2 linked regions of the Coturnix japonica genome follow. The protein of the gene in region 2 interacts with the protein of the main gene of each other region in a pairwise test. Links are inferred from orthologs where the notes say so. Each region holds a gene or a part of one and is shown on either strand. Other genes may lie near its edges. The genes, in order: SKAP1 and FAM102A.

Evidence for each region.
Region 1: the proteins of FAM102A (region 2) and SKAP1 interact in binary tests that used the Homo sapiens proteins (3 or more experiments, as listed by UniProt). The two-hybrid records come from large-scale screens. The link is inferred for Coturnix japonica from reciprocal best matches to the Homo sapiens genes EEIG1 and SKAP1.

What each region holds. Positions count from the first base shown.
Region 1 is NC_029542.1:3,280,043-3,290,267, reverse strand, and holds the start of SKAP1 (src kinase-associated phosphoprotein 1), read right to left. Parts: upstream 6,273-10,225; 5' UTR 6,099-6,272; coding exon 6,065-6,098; intron 1,446-6,064; coding exon 1,340-1,445; intron 1-1,339. UniProt on the Homo sapiens protein: Positively regulates T-cell receptor signaling by enhancing the MAP kinase pathway. Required for optimal conjugation between T-cells and antigen-presenting cells by promoting the clustering of integrin ITGAL on the surface of T-cells.
Region 2 is NC_029532.1:3,604,477-3,614,601, reverse strand, and holds the end of FAM102A (protein FAM102A), read right to left. Parts: intron 7,661-10,125; coding exon 7,544-7,660; intron 7,128-7,543; coding exon 7,081-7,127; intron 4,188-7,080; coding exon 4,033-4,187; intron 2,991-4,032; coding exon 2,883-2,990; intron 2,630-2,882; coding exon 2,440-2,629; intron 2,258-2,439; coding exon 2,136-2,257; intron 1,637-2,135; coding exon 1,567-1,636; intron 720-1,566; coding exon 674-719; 3' UTR 232-673; downstream 1-231. UniProt on the Homo sapiens protein: Key component of TNFSF11/RANKL- and TNF-induced osteoclastogenesis pathways, thereby mediates bone resorption in pathological bone loss conditions.

The sequences.
Region 1 (10,225 bases), on a different chromosome or scaffold from region 2:
TTCATTCAAGACAGACCTAGTGCTGGATCATACAAGGATATATCACTCCTAAGCTCTCAAGATCGCTGGGAATAAATATAAGCTTGACTTAATGTCTGAATACTTTAGTTTCATAGTCCTGTTTACTTCACTCTTTCCAACCCAAAGTCACTACCTGGCAATGTCTCAGAAGCCACATCAGCCCTCTGCACCCACCCACACCAAAAGGTTCCTCCCCAGCACTACAAGGCACTGCCAGACGCACCTTAGATACATCACAGCCCCATTTCCAAAGGCTTCCATCTTCTGCATCCCGTTTGTTTCAATTATTCAGGGCAACCCAGGCTGATAATTACACAGTCCCGTGTTGCTGAGTAAAACTGATGCATAATTAGCCAGCAGGAAAGATCGATTAAGATACAGCAGGGCATCTTGCAAAGTTCTTCAGTGGGACTGCAGGGAATAGGATCTGGCTGTGCCCTTCCAAAGGATAAAACTCTCTACATCTCAGGGACTTGACAGCAGTTTTATTTCAATGGGATGCTTCCATCACTCAGCCACCCTGAGTTTTATTGTCAGGTCTTAACTTCAAATGACACAACTCATATCTTTTAACTAGAACACTAACAACAAGCTATACATCACATTTCCAGCCAGAAATATAATGCAGCTGAGGCTCCAAGTTGCATTTAAGCCTCCAGCAACATGCTTTCTGTTTTATGTTCCTTGATCCTCCCCTAGCACCGCAACACAACCTTTGTCTGCTTTGCTCTTGAATCCAAGTGACGCAGCTCCCACCCTCATTCAAGACCTGAACAAGGCTGAGGTCATCAGGTTTGGGAACACAGTTCAGAGGTTTAACATAGGAAATCATCTTCTCTCCTTTTTACTGTGCCAGATTACATGCAATGTGTATTTGGGCTCAGGAGCCACACATGGAATGGATACTTTCAGCAGCAAGCCAGCAGTGTGAGCCTTTGTATACTGTACTGATTTATCCACATATCTCAGCATCAAGTAATGGATTTTCCCCCCTATACACAAAACCCCCAATAGCACCGTGGTGAAGGAAGAAGAGCATCAGATTCGTATGCAAAGAGCTGTACAGATGCTGCCCAAATCATGTTTCCTGCTTTAAGAAGCATCACTGCCTACCTTTGGAGTCTGTTAACTCCACAGACAACCAAATATAACCAGCTGATGTAAACAGAAGGACACAGCATACTCTCAATTATAGCAGCTCCTGAATGCTCATTATCTTCCAAAGCACAGGCCAATTGTCCCATTGCCTGAATACAGCATGCAGTACCCCAAGTTATGGCACTGTTCATTAGGAGACACATACAGAGACAACACATACCTGGCTTTGGCTTGCTGGAAGCCAAAGAGAATCGTGTTCCTCTGCTCCCTTGCTTTAGGGCTCAAGTTTTCATTCTGCAGTCCATCCACCAGGAAGCACTCAGCATCTGAGTAAAGGGAAAGGAACAAGTTAAAGCTAATGGGAAGCTAATGCTACCCATCCTTGGATGAGAACAGCATCAGCATCTCAAGGATCAGAAAGCCCTAGTGCAGATATGAGGAAGACAGACTGTCAGCCCACCATGAGACACCAGGATTCACAGCTTCCAGTGGGTCTGTCCCCCACTGACACCCAGCAATTAGAGTTAGCTCAGGTCAGATGCCTTGCATGAACATCACTCTTCCACCACATGCATTTACTTCTCTCATTAACCACTGCCTTACTCTGTTGTGTGCAGCACCCAACACCTCCTATATACCTCCCTACATCCCCAAACCCTAAAAATCCACTGCTATGAAAGGCTGCCATTCACAGAAGTAGCCAAAACACTTCTAATACAGCGGACACCTTACACCCATCACTTAAATGAAATCCCAGCTTGTGGTTTTCACTGAAATAACCCTCCTAAGGAGCAGGCATTGAACACTAGGTTGGTTGTGCACTCACCCACATACAGATATATCACACCACGTTCTCTGCTAATGCTCAGATACATTGTGCTTGCCCAACAGGACAGCTTGGCAGAAGTAAATGTGATACTCTCTCACTTGAAAAGCACAGCTAGGTGTAGAAATCTAACCTGAACTGAAAGACAAAGAGACTACAGGTAGATTAAGTGCCTTCTATTTGGATGAATATTTATACTCCTAACAGAAGCCTCTTAGAAAAACAGAACATTTCCAACCACACCTGCTCTGTAAATGAAAGCATCATCATCCCTGTCCTCCGGCAGCTTTACTGCTGCTTTCCTCTAGCAAAGCTTGGCTTCAAAGCTGTGATGCTGTACACCCACAGCCCTCTCCAACCTTTAATTCACGCCCCATACTGTGACACTAATGTCAGTTTAATATCCTGCTTGCAAGACTTGCAGCTCCTTATGCTTCAGCTGCCGGTACAGCAGCCAGCACTGCTCAGCATGCCCCAGGAACCTTTATAGCTCCTTAACAAAACAGTTCCTCTACCTGCGAGCACAGAAGATCAAAGTGCCACAGGAGAAATGAATAACTCCCCCTGCTAAAGTCACGAGCTCTTATTTTCATCACCTATTTATGGCAAACATAAGAAAGGCTGAGAGCTGGAGGGGAAATAGAGAAACGCATCTTTCTGAAGCAAAGGACAGAAGCAAGGACAGAGCAAGCTGTGTGCTCAGGAAGCGGGGCAGATGTGCACCCCCACAAACAGGAATCCCTTCCCACTTTGTCTTTACAGTGATGAAGAGGAGCAGAGAGATGCAGCCTGAAGAAGGAGGAGAGAACACCCTCACCCTGCCTGGTATCCCACTGAGGCTCTGCTGGATCTTTTGCTTTGGTTAAGTTTCATTTTCAGCACATCTCTACACTGTTTTAATTCCCCCTCCAAGATACAGCACTGACTTAGGACAAACAAAACAGTGCTGGACTTGCACTGCTTACAAATAACATAAGTAAGAACCACATACACATATCTAGGCACCAAGAACATAACCTTGCCCTGAGAAACTTAATGTAAGAAGAGATGGAGGCTGAAGGGACAGTTTATTATGTACAAATCAGCTTTAAGACAACACTGTAGAGATCAGCCAGCGAGAGAAACCCTTGCAGGCTGCAATGAGAACAAACAAGAACCACAAACTGGGCCAACATCAGCTGCTCTTGTGCCCTTTTTAAGCACAGATCAGCTCCGTGAGCATGCCATCAGCTGCAATATGGTATTTACTTGCTGCCATGTCAGCACAGATCAGCTGCTGGATAAGTTATAACAGAACTGTGGTCCCTCCTGCAAAGCAGGCAGAGCCCTTTTCAGAGCCAGCCACAATGTTTATAGCACCAGGAAATGAAAAAGAAAGCCTGACCATAAACTCTCCAAGTGGATCAGGAAGAGCAATATGTAAGCAGCTCCGGAGTAAATCACCCCAATGTTAGTTTTACTGCTTGTCAGTAACGTTATATTCTTGATGTTTATAGATTGCTCTCTGTGATCCACTCCGAAAGTTTACAGGACTCTCCCTTTCATTTCCTGCAGCTACCAAAGGTAAGAGAGGGGGGGAAGGAATAAAAAGGAAAACAGTTGAGATTTCATCAAGTGCTTCAGGAGGGTTTCTAGAGGCAATTGCAGTCATCCACTTTAATCCCACACGCAGAGCACAGCATTGTAAGAGTTATGTCACAGCCACCCCAGTCTGGTGAGTAAATAACCTTTTAATGGCAGCACTAAATCTCTGAGTTAATCATCACTCAGAGAGCAGAGCTGAAAGGTATTTAGAGGCTGTGTGCATCTCTCCTGTGCCCACACCCCAACCAACACTTGTTGTTCTTTTCTACCCATCTGCCAACAGAAAACCAACTCAAGTCACATTAAGAACCACTGTTTCAGCCTTTAGAGGAAAACTGCAAAACAGCCTCTTGGACTGAACCAAAACTGAAACCCCATGCAAGTAACGACAACTTGGGCTGCTTATTTGTGATGTGATCAGAGTAATATAACTGTCCCAACCACATCTATTCATAAATATAAGGCTATCAGCATTCAGAAGCACTGCAGCATCACAGCGTAGAGAAGATAGCCATGATATATCAGCTTTCAACCACTGCAACCTCAGAGATGTCTTCTGTGATAACAGTGAGGCTGATGGAAGCTAGCAGTTGGCTACTGGCCCTTTGGGCACCTTGCATACAGCCCTGCACTATGGAACAAAGCTTAATGTAGGGAAGCAGACATTATGGCCCATACACCAATACACGTTGGCTCTTTGAGTTGTAACGCTTTAATTAAATACAAGAATTCTTATTATAACACAGTTTGAAAACCTGATGAGCTTAAGCTCCTCTGATTCCTGCATAGCAAGAAACCTCCTCAGCCCCTGGAAGGCCTCGAGTCTGTATAGATTGTTAAGACACAGCAAGTTTGATACAGAGGTATGTGACATGCAATTAATCTCCATTCATAGCCTGCTCTACTTGTCAGCAAACAAAGGCTGTGCTTTAGAAGGAGATCTGAAGCCTTCAATTAAAAACAGTCAGCTAACAAGAAAATAATCTAAGTTAAAGGAAGGTGGCAGGTGCAGAAATGAGTTGTTTACAGAAGCGTCAGCAGCAAACAATAAAGAGCTGCACATCAAAAATGGGAAAGGGTGAACTCCACCAAAGCCTCCGCGATTAAAAAGCAGAGGGGAGAATTCACACCTACATCTGGGAGAAGACACAATGCATTTGGGAGGGAGCTTTGATGGGCTGGGAGGCTCAGTGTGTGCTCTGGGTGTTGGAACCAGGACTGGAAGGAACTCAGTGTTGGGGTGACTTCAGGGAGACCTCATTGTGGCCTTGCAATACTTGAAGGAAGCATATAGACAGGAGTGGGAACAACTGTTTATGAGGATGGATAACAATAGGATAATGGGAAATGGTTTTAAACTGAGACAGGGGAGGTTTAGGTTGGATATTAGGAGTAAGTTTTTCACCCAGAGGGTGTTGATGCACTGGATCAGGTTGCCCAAGGAGGCTGTGGATGCCCCATCCCTGCAGGCATTCAAGGCCAGGCTGGATGTGGCTCTGGGCAGCCTGGGCTGCTGGTTGGTGACCCTGCACACAGCAGGGGGTTGGAACTGGATGAACATTATGGGCCTTTGCAACCCAGGCTGTTCTGTGATATGACTGGGGCTGGTGCTGTCAGGAGATGAGCAACAGGAAACCAAAGGTCATGAAACCTCGAGGCAGAGCAGGTCAGGCTCAAACAACAGCTCAGAGCATCAAGCAGCAGAATGCAAACAGCTCCTTCTCACCACCTGCCTGCACCTACAGCAGCAGGATGTGCCAGCAACATGCAGCAATGGGCTAAGGCTGCAGCCTGCAGTGCTGCTGCTCAGGCTTTATATATAGGAAGGTCAATGAGAGTCAGCAGGGTAGGGGGAAGCCAGCATGTGAGTAGAGGTGACTGCAGAAGGCAAGGCAATACTGGAGAGAAAAAAAAACCCACAAACCCTGAGTATAGGTTCCCCTGTTTGCATAAATACACCCCAAAGGATGACACTAAAGAAACAGCAGTTACTTGCACTACCACAGCTGTAGCAAAAGCCAGGGGAAGGGGGGGGTCTCATTGCAACACACAAGTTTATTCTACCCTGTGTGCCTGCCCTTTGGCTCACCCAGTGATGCTGGGTGCCAGCACAGCCCACACAATGTTTTAATTGAAAGCACGTGGTAGGGAGAAAACACCCCTTAACTTTATATACTCTCTCTTCCTCTACAAGCACAGCCCCCGAGACCACTAAAGAGTTGCCCCTCTCCTAATAGAGGCACAGACCCACCTACCAACTCCTGGCACTCACACATAATACTGAGAGCACTGGGACAAGCAGCCACGTCCCCTATGCTTCTCTCATCAGGATTAGGGATGCATAAGCCACACATACAACATGAGGACCACAAAGCCACCCATCAGCTATAGAAGAAAAGTAACTCTTATAGACCTCCCATTCCCCTCCCTGGATCAGCTCAATGAGATGCTAAAGGCCTTTCAGACTCTTCCCCTGCAATAACTGCAAGCCTTTCCTGCTAAACAGGAGAGCAGCAAGGAGGAATTGGGGGTTACCTGCAAGGAGTCTCTGAATGTCCTCTGGGATCATGGCCCTGCCACCTCCTTTCCACCAGTCAAACCTGATGCTCTGGTCCCTCAGCTGCAGGGACAGAACGAGGAAAGGAAGCAGAGGGGGTGGGGACACCCCGAAGAAAGTGGAAGGAACTGCAGAGCTCTGCTCAAACGATGCCTCCTCCTCCTCTTTCAGCCTCACAAGAGGCAATCAAGGTGCTGAGCTCTGCCCAACTAACTACAAAAAGCCCAACCCTCCCCCCCCCTTCCCCCAGCAACAACACAGCTGATAGCGAACTCCCTGCATTAGCATTTTAATCAGGTGGCAGTTAGGCGAGCATCTCCTTCATTAGCGCACAATTCAGCGCACCTGCTGGTACAGCAGACCCGGAGCTGTATGGCTATTGCTTTAACCCCCCCCTGTGCCGACCCCCAGCACAACAGGAGATGGGTTGGGTCTGTTCCAAACAGAACCAAACCCCCATCCCCTAATGCTTAGGAAGAGAAGCAGCTCTTGGCTGCTCTGCAATTAAACATCCCCACTTCCTACATCCTGTATAGGAAGGGGATAGAGCGTAATAGCTGCTCATATTTCTATCTTGCCCGGAGAAATAGGAGGGTTGTGCACTTTAACTTGCCTTTGACAGTCAATAAGTGCAAACTGCACTCTACAAAACAAAAGTGGCATTGCATTAGATTAACCTACAGTCCCACATCCGCTCCTCTGCTATACAAATGAATTAATGCAGGCTGGCCATGGGGATATACTGCTAATATTTTCCATCCTTGTATTCCCAAATTTTGAACCCAGCCTCCTTAATCTGAAAGAAAACACCTCTAATGACTGCAGAGTTATTTTAGGTTGGGACAGCAACTCTATATGTAAAAGCAGTGAGAATGGAGGGCTCTGATGAAGGCACTGTGTCTAAATGCATGTTTGGTGCCTTTGGAGCACACAAGTTTCCTATTCTGAATCTAAAATTCACTTGATTTCCATCCTTTCCCTTTTACTTTGCATGTTACTATGTGAGTTTGCACACTCTGCCAGTAGTTTTGCAGCACGTTCTTGCTTTTGGGATGCTGTGTGAGGAATTGCTTTGCAGCAGCACTGGATGCAGCATGGAAATCATTGCTGCCATTCAGAAGGCCTTGCACAGCAGACTGACTTGCTGGAATGCATCTCCGTCACAGACAGGAGTCTTTGCCATTACATCTGCTAGTCAGGTAGGGTTTCATGAAGCAGGATTGGGAAAAGTGAGTCTCCTATGGGAGCAAAATGGGAACTTCTGTGAGCTGCCCACGGCTCCTGGCAGATGGGAGCTGCTGTTATTGTATGCAAGGAATGGTAATGCATGCAGGTGGGTGTACAGTAGATGGATCTGTATGCTTGTTCTCACCTGGAGGTGTTTAGGGATAAATATTTAAATGCTTCTCCATAGAAATCCTCCTCAGTTCATTACAGACTGCAAATAAAAAGCAGCTGCTTGCTGAGAGTGCCTAACATTAAAAGCCGAGTTTATAAAGGGATGAACTGGGTCATGTAGATGGAAGAAACTGCCTTCAGACGTGCCAGAGAGATCAATGAAACCTGATCAATGCAAATCTCAGAAGGAAAAACACTCTTACAACTGCAAAGAGAAGGATCATCTCATGGGTTTTCTGCATATCTGTAGCTCTGAAAGCGTGGTGCAAAGAGTGAATTAGAAGCCAGTCAGTGAGCCTTGCCCAAGAGACAAACCACTTTATCATATTTAGGGGATGGGGGAAGTTTTGCTTCATGTCAAACGAGCAGCGAGTTGATTTGCAGGTGTTGTTGGTGGGGCTTCACCTTCCTTTGCTGCCTGGTTTGTGCTCGCTGCATGTGTGGGGATTTCACCCAACACGTTTCCTGTTGCAGTGTTTACCTCGTTGGTTTAGCTTTAGATCTGGGCTGCTGAAACACATTGTGATTTCTGGTCTTTTGCTGCAGATCTTGAGGTTATCGTAGTAGCTTTGAGTGTAGTGTAATGTGTGGAGGTGTGCTGGCTGGTCTTGGATTGTACATCCATCCCACAGCCTGGAGGCAGAGATCAGCACCTTGGATGTCCCCCTCAGGCCCTATCTGAAGATATTAAGACAATACTGACCATGCAGCAGATGTTGCTAAAATGGAATCCATTTTGCCATAGAGTCTCAGCTGCCGTGCAGATGTATGTGCTCACACAGCCTTCACACCATGCACGAGCAAAGCCAACCCTTCTGTTCAACCTCACCCCTCTGCAGACAGAGCCAGGCAGGCTGAGTCCCCAGCAAATGACCTTTTCCTTGCCACTTTTGTTTTTGAAAGCATGAATAGGCAACACACTTAGTTCAGTGGTCAGCTGGGAAGGAGATGAGGGGGTCTGGCAGCGGCTGGCAGCTACCCCTGCATCACTGCTCTGTAGCATCACACTTTGTGGGCTGTAGGTGTAAAGCTGCCTCATGATAAAAGCCCCACCTTCATCATTTTAATCCTGGAGTTGAGCAGTCGGACTCTCCCCTAATGCTGTTCTTTTAAATGGACAAATTCCTTTGAAGGCTCCGTCTTGCTTTGAAATCCAATTTCTCAGGAAGAAGCCAGATGTGGTTGCGTGTAGCTATGGAAACAAAGCAGGGCAGCCTGCGAAGAGCTGAGCAATGCAAGGTAAAAAGGGAGAGTGGGAAATATCCAAGGATCTGGAGGGGCTGGCAGGAGCTGTGTCCCTGCAATGGGCTGCTCGGTGTGGCTGGGTGCAGTGCCTGTCAATGCAGGTGAGCAGCCAGCTGGTGTGTCATACAGCCAGGAGAGGAGCTAGATGCACACAGCCTGGGGATGCAGGCTCCTCGCTTCCCATCTGCCCCCTTTTCCTGCTCTTCCAGCACATCACGATCTCTCAAGCCTTCCCCTCTGCCATTCAGAAAGGTTAACGACAAAAGGGTAACAAGGTTAAACCGCAAAGCCTCGCCTGATAACAGCCCTTTCAAGCAGCTGCGCCGAAATTAATCTGAAACTTTTAGTAATTAGATAAGGATGTGTGCATGCTCACGCAGGCACACGCTGACCCTGGGACGCCCGTTCTGCAGAGGGGGGGGTGGAGGATCACAGGCTTCATTAAACGGGATCAGGTCATTTGTTCACCTAGTCTGGCACTGCAGCACTGGAGATACATTTCCAGCCTCTTTATTCATCCTTCTTGCTCTCTTTGGTAATACACTCACTTGCCCTTTTGTCCTCCCTTTCCGGTGTTGTGGCTCCTGCCAGTTCAGAGCAGACTTTCATTCTTGCTCTTTCAGAACAGATGCCAGTCCATCTATTTCTGTATCACAGCTCCTGCCATTCCAGGTCAAATTGTTGGACCACTGGGTGTCATTTGCTGCCTCTGACAGTGACCAACAACTCAGTAAAGAAAAAAAGGCCTCTTTCCAATCTGGTCTTGCACCTGACTGCTTGAATAATTTCTCCTGGTTTACTAATCAGCTGTGCCATGCTAATGCTCTGCTGTAATCCCAGAGTTTACATGCTTACGTCGGTTCCATTGCCCAACAGCTCATGTATCTTCCTTCTCATGCGACCAAGTCATTCAGTTAAAGGTTGGTTACAACCCTCATAAATCATCTTTCCCCTTTTTTAAGGCTAAGTGGTCTTCCCATGTCCGCACTATTTGGCCCTGCACCTCTGCTTCACCAGGTGACCGTTCATCAGTTCCTGAAGCCAATGAGAAACAAAAATGTGTCGGCAGCTGCAGCTCTGACTTATGGCAAACAGATTTGATTCCAGTGCAAATCTAAATTAGCAGACCTTGCTGCTGGCATAGACTGCCAGATTCTGGATTCACTTACCTCCCAGACATGCTGCATTTTCTCTGTCGTGAAGGCTCCTTGGAAGCAAGCAGATGTGTTGAGGTGTATATATTACAATGTATAGAGTGTAATTGTTTCTGGTAACAGCAGGGCATTCCAGTAGGACCCCATTGATGTGATTCTCCTGTGCTTCTGTGGTGGAGATGGCACATGGTAAGGATGTGCTGGGGCTCCTTTCCTGGGTGTGTCCATGAAGGTTGCAGGTGGTCTAAGAGAGGAGGCATCTCCCAGCATCTGTGTTGTGATGCTACAGCCAGATGTGGAGAATGGGTTACACTGCTTAAATCCCAAGTGGCCTTTTGTGGC
Region 2 (10,125 bases):
TGGTATAACAAGCACTAGCATTTAACCATTTATCAACTCCCATCTGGATTGTGGTAATTTTCTGAAATGCACTTTTGGGAGATATTTCCTATGAGAAAAAAGATTTTTGGGGTTTTAAGTGTAAGAAGGGGAAGTGTACACCACTGCATACCTTGCTCAATAAAACTGTTGCCTTAGAAGGTGATGTTCCCTTGCAGTCAATGGAATAAAGCATCCTGCAAGTAACCGTTTCACCGTGTCACCAACAAGCAGCTCTTGGTTTGGTTAGAATGGTTCCCCCCCAAGTGGTTTGAAGAGTTCACAGTGGCACAACCCAATGTTTTGGGGAGACAAGCTGAGATATCCCCCTTTGCAAAGGGATGGGTGCAGTGAGGGATGCAGAAGAGCAACATGCTCTAGGACTAAGGATAAGTCCAGCAGACACTTTGTGTCTGTTTGCAAACGGGGAGGGCAGGCACTGGAAAAACTGGGAAGTGAAGGAGGGTACTGCCAACACAGGGAAAGTGCATGATCTGGAGTGGTCTCGGAGTAGTTCTGCAGTGCAAACATATGGGGAGGGGCATGGAGAAATCCCTTCTGGAATGCTGCATGAAGAGAGGTAAAGGTTGGCATCCATGTGGCAGCAGACTGGGTAGGGGGCCCGTTTCCAGCAGCTCTACCCTGTTCTTCACATTTAATGGGTTTCAATCACCACTGGCTCGTAAACTCCAGATGAGACCCTGAGGACGCAGAGGAGAAGATGAGAAAGCCAGGTTATTTTTCTATTACTTAAAACAAATTAGTTTGTATTCAGAGCTTTCCATGCATGATCCCTCTAACCTCACAGAAAATACTGACAGTAACTCGTTGATCTGGTGAGCAGTCAACCCACACAACACAAAACAGACAGCTACATAGCAAACTAACACTACAGCCTGACAGAGTTGGGTGAAGCACAAATTCTTTTAGAGAACAGAGGGAAAGGGCTTGGGTGGAGCACACTGTGCTAAGAACAAGCATTCCTGACTCTGTTCCCAATTTTGCCACCAACTTGACATATCTTTGTGTTTGCCATTATTGTTTTTCATACTACTAAAGGTGCTAAAACTTAACTCCCCCCCCTCCCTCCCCACAACTAGTCAATACACTGTAGTGAGGGCTATTGTGGCAAGACAAAGTTTTATTCTCCAGAAATCTTTATCCACAACACAGATGGAGGGCAGGGAAAAGGGAGTTGCAGTTCTGCTGCAGTCCAGCAGGAGGCAAAGCTCCCTGTGAGTGCAGGACCAAACAGGAACCAACCTTTACCACCGTGTCCTTTTACTCCTCACTTATTTCTGTTCTTGGATCCAAAAACTAGGATCAAATTATCTCTCCGAGCTTCCACTGTGAACTGCATTCACACTCCAGGGCAACTGCTGACTGTCACCAGAGAGATCCCAGGGGTGTGAATGTGGGCATAAAGCCACCACGTAGCACATGATGTTTAGAAATCTCTTCTGTTGCAAAGGTGAAAGTTCCCTGTGTACCCAGAGCTAAGTAACCTCTCTGGAGTCTGACTGTCTGCAGTCCTTATAGGAAACCTACCTGTTTCCCAGCTGAATACCACTCAGTGTAGTTGTTCCATCTCTGCTCACAAACAACCGCAGGTTACTGTCTGCAGATAGAAAAGGAAGTAGGACATTAAAGTACAGAACTCCTTCTGGTGATTGCCAAGTTCTCCTCTCCCAGCTGCATTACAGAATGTTCAGCAGAGGAACAAGTGCATTTCTGTGAATCCATACGCACACTGTATGGTGTTCCCATAGCAATTGGACCCCTAAGAGCTCTCCTGCTTTAAAAGGGAGTCTCATATACAAATCAAGCACAACACTAAGCTATGAAGAAACACTTGTTTTTCCTCTCTCACCCTTATGTTTAAGCTACTCTTTTACCTCTGCTGTGGTCTGTAGAAGAACAGTGGCAGGCACTGTTCGCAAATTGATGCACAGCTCTCAAATCCACGGTTTACTACCATAGAAACACCTAGCAACCACTGAAAGAAAATTACTGTCAAAGGGGGGAGTCTGTAGCAGACCAAATCTGGCTTTGTACAAGGTTGGCAGCTTTGCTAAGGAAACAGCCAAGACTTCCCCTCTTGAGACTCATGCTCTCACCTTCAGTATTGCTGACATCTGTGAAGTCCTGACTCTGCATTATTTTCTCCACTATATCATCTGCATCAATCCTGGTGTCATCCACACGGGTTGGGTGACTCTCCACTGAATCCTTTTTTCTCCTGGGGAAAAAAAATCAAGGGAAAAAAAATCAGCCTTTACTGATGGACTTCTAAATTCTCTCACTTCTTTTAGGAACAGTACTTCTCTCAGCAGCTAATTCCAACCTACTGCTGGTTAAAGACCAGAGAATAAATTCCATCTCAGCTTCCCAAAGAGGGGGCTTTGCACCACAGTTACCTACCGGGAAGGTCTGTCCAGCAGAAGAGCTGGTCTGGGGGGGCGAGGTGGCTTCTCTAGTTTGTGGTCCCGCTCTCCCTCAGGGCATTCCACCGTCATGCTCAGCCCTCCGGATGCACTACTGCTGGTGGAGGTATTCCGGCGATGGGTCAGGTCAGACATACTAGAAGAACGGGAATGCTCCGTGCTGTAACCTGCAAATACAGCAGCATAGTTACAAGTCACACCTTCCCTCTTTCCTGAAGACAGAGTTAACACGCAGCACAGCTTCTGCTCTTGTATACTGAGGTTTATACATAAATCTATGAACTTATCTGCAGAGACTGACCAAGAAGCTCTGATATTACACTGCTGGGTAAGAGATAAGGCTGCAAGTCACTCTCATGAGAGCTTGCTGCAGCAAAGGATGGAGCCAATGATGGCACAACCATGTGGATCAATAGTTACCAGAGATCTTGGACTGCTGGCTGGCATAGCTGGAGTTCCGTGAGTGCCCTGAGTGGAAGACTTCCTCTGGGCTGGACAGATTCTGATCTGGTTCTTCAGGGACACCTGCTGAGAAACAAGGCATTCCAGTTACACCACAACCACATCAGTACTGCCTGCTGCCTTAGACTAGATGCTGATCCTGGGACACTAGATTAAGGAAAGTGAAAGCAGGTAGAAGCCTGCTGTAGCAAAGAGCTTACGTGCACTTTGGAACTAGGGATAATGACAACAATTTCCTCTGTTAAGTTCATCATTAATTCTAGCACCCAGTACCTGAATTAACCTTGGCCTTGAAGGACCTAGAAGGACAATGTCCAGAAGTTAATGATTTTAACTACAGATAGCTAACAGCCTGAAAGCATCAAATGGCCACCATCAGTAAAATATTACAATTTCTGTTTGGGTACTTCTCCTGTCATGGCTTTTGTCCTGCTATTATTTGTGAGCCCACACCATTTAAATAATATCTTTGATATGAACTTGATACAGGAACTTCAGGATAATCTCTGTTTCTTTACCCTTGCCCCAGTTTGCCTCACATGCAACAAGTTTATCTGAAAGTATGCAAGCGTAACATGCTGGCAAGCTTTTCCAGATCATCACCTGTGCACTTTGCTGTCACTGAGGTTATGTGACCAGAGCTCTATTTTGGTGCAGTGTCTGCCTGCACATTTTAGAGTACGCTGGGAAGAAAAAAGGCAATAGGAAAACGCAGTGTCCTTGAAAATGGGCTCACACAGAAGCCAAAGAACTCTGCATCAGCAGCTGGATCAAGGCCATTAGATCTCAAACCAACCTCTAAAACCACCAAAGCTTTTCTAGAAGAATAGCTGAGTGGAGAACAAAGCTAAGTGTCACTGAACACAATGGAAGGCAGAGATGAACGCAATACATTAATTATTAAATCCTCAGGAAAAAAGATTGCTTTATCTCCACCTATAGAGGCATGGAGAGTTTTGTTTTTCCTAAATGAGTTGAGAGCAATGAAAATGGGTTTGAGAAATCATGAAATATTAAAGAACTTCTCTGTTTGCAATTGCTGAGAAAAAGAAGAGAAAGCACCCAAGTACATCTAAGCATTGCATGGCTCCAGGATGGGCGCTCTTACCCGAGCTGAGAATGGTTGCTCTTGGCTTGGTCTGACGCAGAGAACCAATTGTGGCTGAACTGCTGTTGCTGCTTGTGGTTCCTTCACCCTTGCAGGTAAGTTGCAGGGTAGAATCCTGCCCTGGTATAGTAATGGATTTGGCGGTGGAAGGCGGCCTGCAATCACAAGAGAAGTGTTACAAACAGTGAGGCAGGGACTGGGGATCATCTGGCAGCCTCTCTGACCAGCAGCACAGTGTAACATTTGCTGCTTCCTCCCCTCTCCCCCACTCCACCCCCTTGCTATATACAATATTTAGGTCTTCCCCATCTCATAATGCATCTGGACTGCAGATGCAGCATTTTACAAACTGCTGAATACAAGGAAAAGCAAGTTTTTGATGTAAATTAAGGCAAAAAACTGAGCACTCCATCATTTATACAGGACAACCTCACTATCCTCCAGGAAACTATCCAGAGCTGCCCTTTTCCCCCAGCACATGTTCCAGCAGCCAGTCAGCCTCACAAACAGGAACCAGTTTGCTTTTGTCCAGCCCTAAATTCCAGCACCCTTCTGTTACATCTTTCAGGCTCAGGCCAGAAAGAAGCCTTTTATCCCCTGTCCCTCTTTTACAATGCTTAAATAACCTCTCCATTTTTATTTGATGATTAAACTTATTTTCAACGAGACTAAAGTATTTTTACAGCTGTCAAAATTATTTTTCTGGTTATTCTGTGTGCTTGCAACATCCCTTTGTAAATGCTGGCTCTTGGATAGAACTGCAATTGCCTGGAGCCCCCCTCCCTTCCTCCAGAAGTGTTTTTGGGTAGAAGCCATGGCATGTGCAGCATGGCAAGGTTAATATTCCTGTTGGAGCCCTCACTTCCTTATAGCCTGAAGTCTGAACTGCAACCAATGGATTATAGTATGCTTTTCAAGCGAGGAGAGAGAAAGGAAAACTTTTATTTGTTTCACTTGGAACTTTGAGGCCAATGAGGGTTGATGCTACATGAGAGGAACTTTCCAGTGTTTTGGGAGAAAAGACATTTCTTATGGCAGCCAGAGAGATACAAAGGTTTCAGGAAACCCACAGCATGCCTTCCCCAGGGGAAAACAAACAGAAAAAACAATAGACAAACAGAAAACAAACAACCACCAAAAGCCTCCTCCCTAATTGCATTATCAGGGATTTACATGCAGTCAGGTACTTTAGGGACTCTGTTTCACAGGTTAACAAGGCCCTTACTGCCTTAAGCAAGCAAGCTGTTCCTGCAGCAGCTGCCAGGTCAGGCAAGCAGCCCATGCTCCCCTCTGTATGACACCCAGGAGAAGCTCTGTCTCTGCTGCAGAAAGCAAGTGCTCAGCGAGCACGTTCAGGAGTGATTTCCCAGCACAGTTTAATTCTTGCCTAATCCTCTAATGAGTGTCATTTCTCAAAAGCTCTCCTGATCAAGGACTATCCTACATGCAAAGCTTCCATTTTTAGACATTTGTACATCATCACCATATAAAGAAAAGAAATGGGATGACTACAAAAAAACTTTAAGAAAATAAGGAGGTTTGACTTTCAAACTGACCTTACTTCTATTAAATTGATGTTTATACTCCATTCTGCATAATATTCAGGCAAAGAGGTGAGGGTTTGCTTCCACAGTGGAAAAGCAGCAGGTATTTTTGTCAAATGTTATTAGCCATTACTTCATTTTATCATTGAAACTAACCCTGGTAACCTGGCCTTAAAGCATCTGCCACTATTTAACGTGGTTTAAGATGCTCCAGTTTTCCTCCTGAAGCCATTTCTTTTTTCCAGAATCAGGTGGTACTTTATTTCTGGTTTGAAAGTGTCTCTGCTACACTGTGAAAAGGTATTAACAAGGTAAAAATTACATCAAGAGGTATGTGGCACTTCATAACAACGCAAACTAATTCATGCACTGCAAACTAGCACCTAAAATTAGACGTTATAGCCCAGAACATTACTGCTATGAGAGATGAGCTGAAGGTAAAGCCTTCTTCTCTCACACTGCTGGAGTCAACACTAAACAATCAAATTAGCACACAGCAGTCCTGTGTGTGCAGCCACATGCCTTACAGCACACTACTGCAGGCTGGCCCAGATTGCAGAGCCTCACAACCTTGTACTGCAGTATGAAGGCACACAGTGTGTTCTATCTGTTAAATGATGCTGCAACAATTGTTAAAACAAAGAACTGCATCACAGCTTCACTGTATTTATCCTTTCTTATCGCAATGGACTTAAAAGAAAGAAAGGATGGTAACAGTTTCTCTACTAATCAAAACAAATTATGAATGCAGGTCCATGTAGAAGAACAAGGGAACTAAGATGTTTCAGCTTTGCAGTATTTTTGCTGCTGTTTCAAGTCAACATCCTTATCTTGCATGGTATGTGCTAAAATATGTTCATTCCCAAGACCATTTTCCTCACTGACCTTTCCCTTCTCAGAGGTCACTGAAACCATCCCCAGAGCTATGAGAAATTCTACCCTTCGCGCACAGCACCAAGTTTGTTAAAACTCATTAGTTTCCAAAACTTAACCAACATTAAGAAAAAGAAGGTACTGCGTGCAACCAAGCCTGTTTCTTTCCCTGTAGGGGAAAAGGCCCTAAACAAGGCAATCCCCAGTCCAAAGGACTCAGAAATTCAGTTTTTGAGTTTAAAAGGCCAATGTGAGAAAAACACTTCACTGATAACATCTCACAGAGCAGCAGTGAAAACTGACTGACACATACACACACCTTTTGCAGGTCACCCCTTGCATCTCCCAACACTCACAGATGTTATCACTAGCTTTGAAATCCAGGATTCCCCTACCCCATAGTAGATTCTTCCTTTTTATAGTGGGGGAAGCAGAGCAGAGAACAAATGAACCAAGAGTAGTCTTGTTGTGCTATTCTAGCTGATTCAATAGTCCAGGCTCTCCCCTGTATTTCCTAATCTCAAGGACACCTTTTTCCTCTTCCCAGCAATTTTAGTTTCCCAGCAGAAAAACTGAAAAAGCACATGGTGTCCTGGTCTCCCAAAAGCAACATCAGTACTCAGAAACTCACGTTTTGAAGCAGGGGTCCCCTGAGAGCAGAGACATCCCAATCGTGACCTGGAGAGAGAGAACAAAGCATGTCATCATCCACACCACTGAGAGCTCCTTGCTTCAGGAGGAGGCCAAGGGCTTGGCGTAAAGCTTAGTGAGACCTACTTCTTCTCAAGAGAAGACCAGCTTTGGGAATTTAGCAAGGTATTCCCTCCCTCCCCAAAGGGCTGGCATCAATATCTCCAGGTTGCAGTAGCTCAGCAGGAGGCAGAATACTACTGAGGCTCACTCCTTGGCCAAATGGATGCCAGTGTATCAAAGGGTGACTCTGACAAGCTTCCTGAGTCAGACAACCTGCATAAAAGCAAAACCCCATCTCCGTACATAACAGGATCTTCTTACAGGCCCAGCAATATGCTCTGGTTGTGATCTTTTGGCATTCAGTAGTAGGAGTTCCACTATGTCAGTGCCAGCTGCTGTACCTTTAGGATGGAGTTGTCCTGTCGTGTGTTCTTAGTATCGTATCCTTCCAGCAAGCAGCAACGAACAGTCGATCCAGAGCCTGCAAATTCTGCCAGATTTAGATCAGCAAAGCCCAGCTGCCATCAAGAAAAGGGAAAGAGAACAAAAAATTAAAAACAATCAAATAACTCAATAAAGGAGATGCACAGACTAAAGGAAGACAGCACCCCTGTGAGTTAGAGCAGAAACACAAGCCAGTGCACGCAGAGACATGGCTGATGAGACCCTTATACCTGAGAATGGAAGGGACAACACTCCCCATCCCCAGCCAGGTGACTCAGAGGAACATCAGCTCTGTGCAAGGAAGGAAACAGAGCAGTAATGCTGGCCAGGACAGCGTTAACCAGCCTGTAGCCATTGCATAACAAAGGACATGGATGGCACTAGGTCAACAATGTGGAAAAAACATAATCACACATACACAAACATAATAAGGTACTCTTTGTATTGGGCCATCCCAGAATGCAGTGGAGCATATGAACAAGGAGATGAAAGGGTATTGTTATAAGGCAAAGTTGATGCTGTCCTGAAATACAAAACAGCCTTGCAGCACAGCAAGCTGGAATTCAAGAGCCATGCAGCAATGTATGAGCTTTACAGCTACAGATGTGGCTGGGGAACTCCTGCACCACAGCTTCCTCAACATCTAAGATTGAACTAGCAAGTAGCTCACTTGACAGTCAGAAGAGAAGAGTTAACTGTGAGATCTCTAAACGTTCTTTAACAAACAGAAAACAAATACAAAAGGTGACAGGAAGATTACAGGTAAATTCTAACAGGTTATTTGATGTCTCTAGAGTACAAACACAATGAAGATTAGCTTTGCTTATCTGCTTTAACTTCTACTGTAGGAATTACAGCACTTTCCCAAAAGAAAAAGTCACAGCTTCCTACAAACTCAACACAAGTCAGTTGTGTCTCATCTAATCTAACCAGAAGAGATGATGTAACCCACATTTGGCCAAACAGTCTCAGCACAGAAGGTCTGCACCACTTCAGCACACAGATCAGCTGCCACAAGAACAAGGAAAGAGGTGGAAAAGCAATGTGTAGAATAATAGCTAGACCTGAGTTTTTAAGTACATTTCTCCTGTCCTAGTGTTGACAACCTGGATGATACAACTGAACTTAGCCTCAAAATATAACTCTGTGCTAAGGAAATGTGGCGCTCCCATCTGTGGAAGCTGATGGGAGTTACAGCACAAACCATAGCCACTGTTGTGTGACCTCTGGCTCCCATTGTTCCAAATCAAAAGTTAAAGCCGCAGCCTACACATGCCTGTACAAGAAGTATGATTCAAGGCATGATAGCAACGAGATTAAGATACCTGCTCTGCTTCCTTCATCTCACTCTGAAAAGGGAACAAGAGCTGATGGCAAAGAAAAAAAAAATAGGGGTGGGACAGAACAGGAACTTTTCTTCTCCAAAAAAAGAGAAAAAAAAGAAAAGCCCTCACCCCCTTCTTAAGGATTCCCTTAACTCCAATGTTTTTCCAGTCATTGCTGTATATCTTTTTCTCCTTCTTGTCAAGGGCTACGTTTCTTATGAAATATTCAGCAATACAGAAAAACCAACACCAATGACTTTCTAATCTTAAAGAGATGAAGTGGAGAGGAGAAAGCTACACACTGAGCTGCAGCACATCAGAACTGGAGGACAGAAAAGGTTCCTCTGGTGTGGTTGCACTGCACAATACAGCACGGCAGTGGTCAAGACCCAGATCCCCATTTTCCTCCACCAAAGGCATTAACAGAGTGTCAAGAGAATCACAGAGAGCAACACCAAAGTGGTGGATCCATTGATCCACATCCACACTGTGTGCTGAGGTCAGATGCCCTTCTCAGGAAGCAGACTCCCAGTATATAGAGGAAGGATCCCTTAGCAAGAGGATGTTTTCAGAAGTAACCTTTCCTAATAGTTTCCTCAGTTTTCCAGCCAGCTGATGGTGTTTCTTCCAGCTTGGGAAAGAGTTTCCGCTTTATCAGTCCTTCCTGTTAGCTTCCACTCTATAACCCCTGACACTGAAGTGACAACAACGTCAAACCAAAAGGTACACGAGGCTATGGAAACTGTCTTGAGCATAAACAGCTCCAGTGCCGTTAGCCCTGCTGAAGTGAGAGCAGGTAAAGGCAGACACATCTCTCCTTCCAACTCATCTGCACTCCCTGGACAGGCGGCACCTCAGAACAGAGGAATAACCACCCCCTCAATGTCAGTGTAGTGGAAGAGAAACTGATAGCCCCAGAGACACTGTCCTCATTAGTGTCAAAAAAGGAACAGTATGGATAGCAACATCATTTGCTGTGACACAGTTGTACTAAGGTGCGAGTGCAGCCCTCCTCTCAAAGCCTGGTACATCCAGGAAGGCCATCGATTAGATGAAATTCTTACACAGTTGTGTGTGACCCAAACATCTGTTTATTAGAAACTAGCACCAGTGACTCATTTTCAAACATGGATTCGGGCTCTGTGTGAACTCTGCTTTTAAGCCAACATTGTCTCTTGTTCCAGCACAAAGAGAAGGGGGTGGCATCCAGCCCA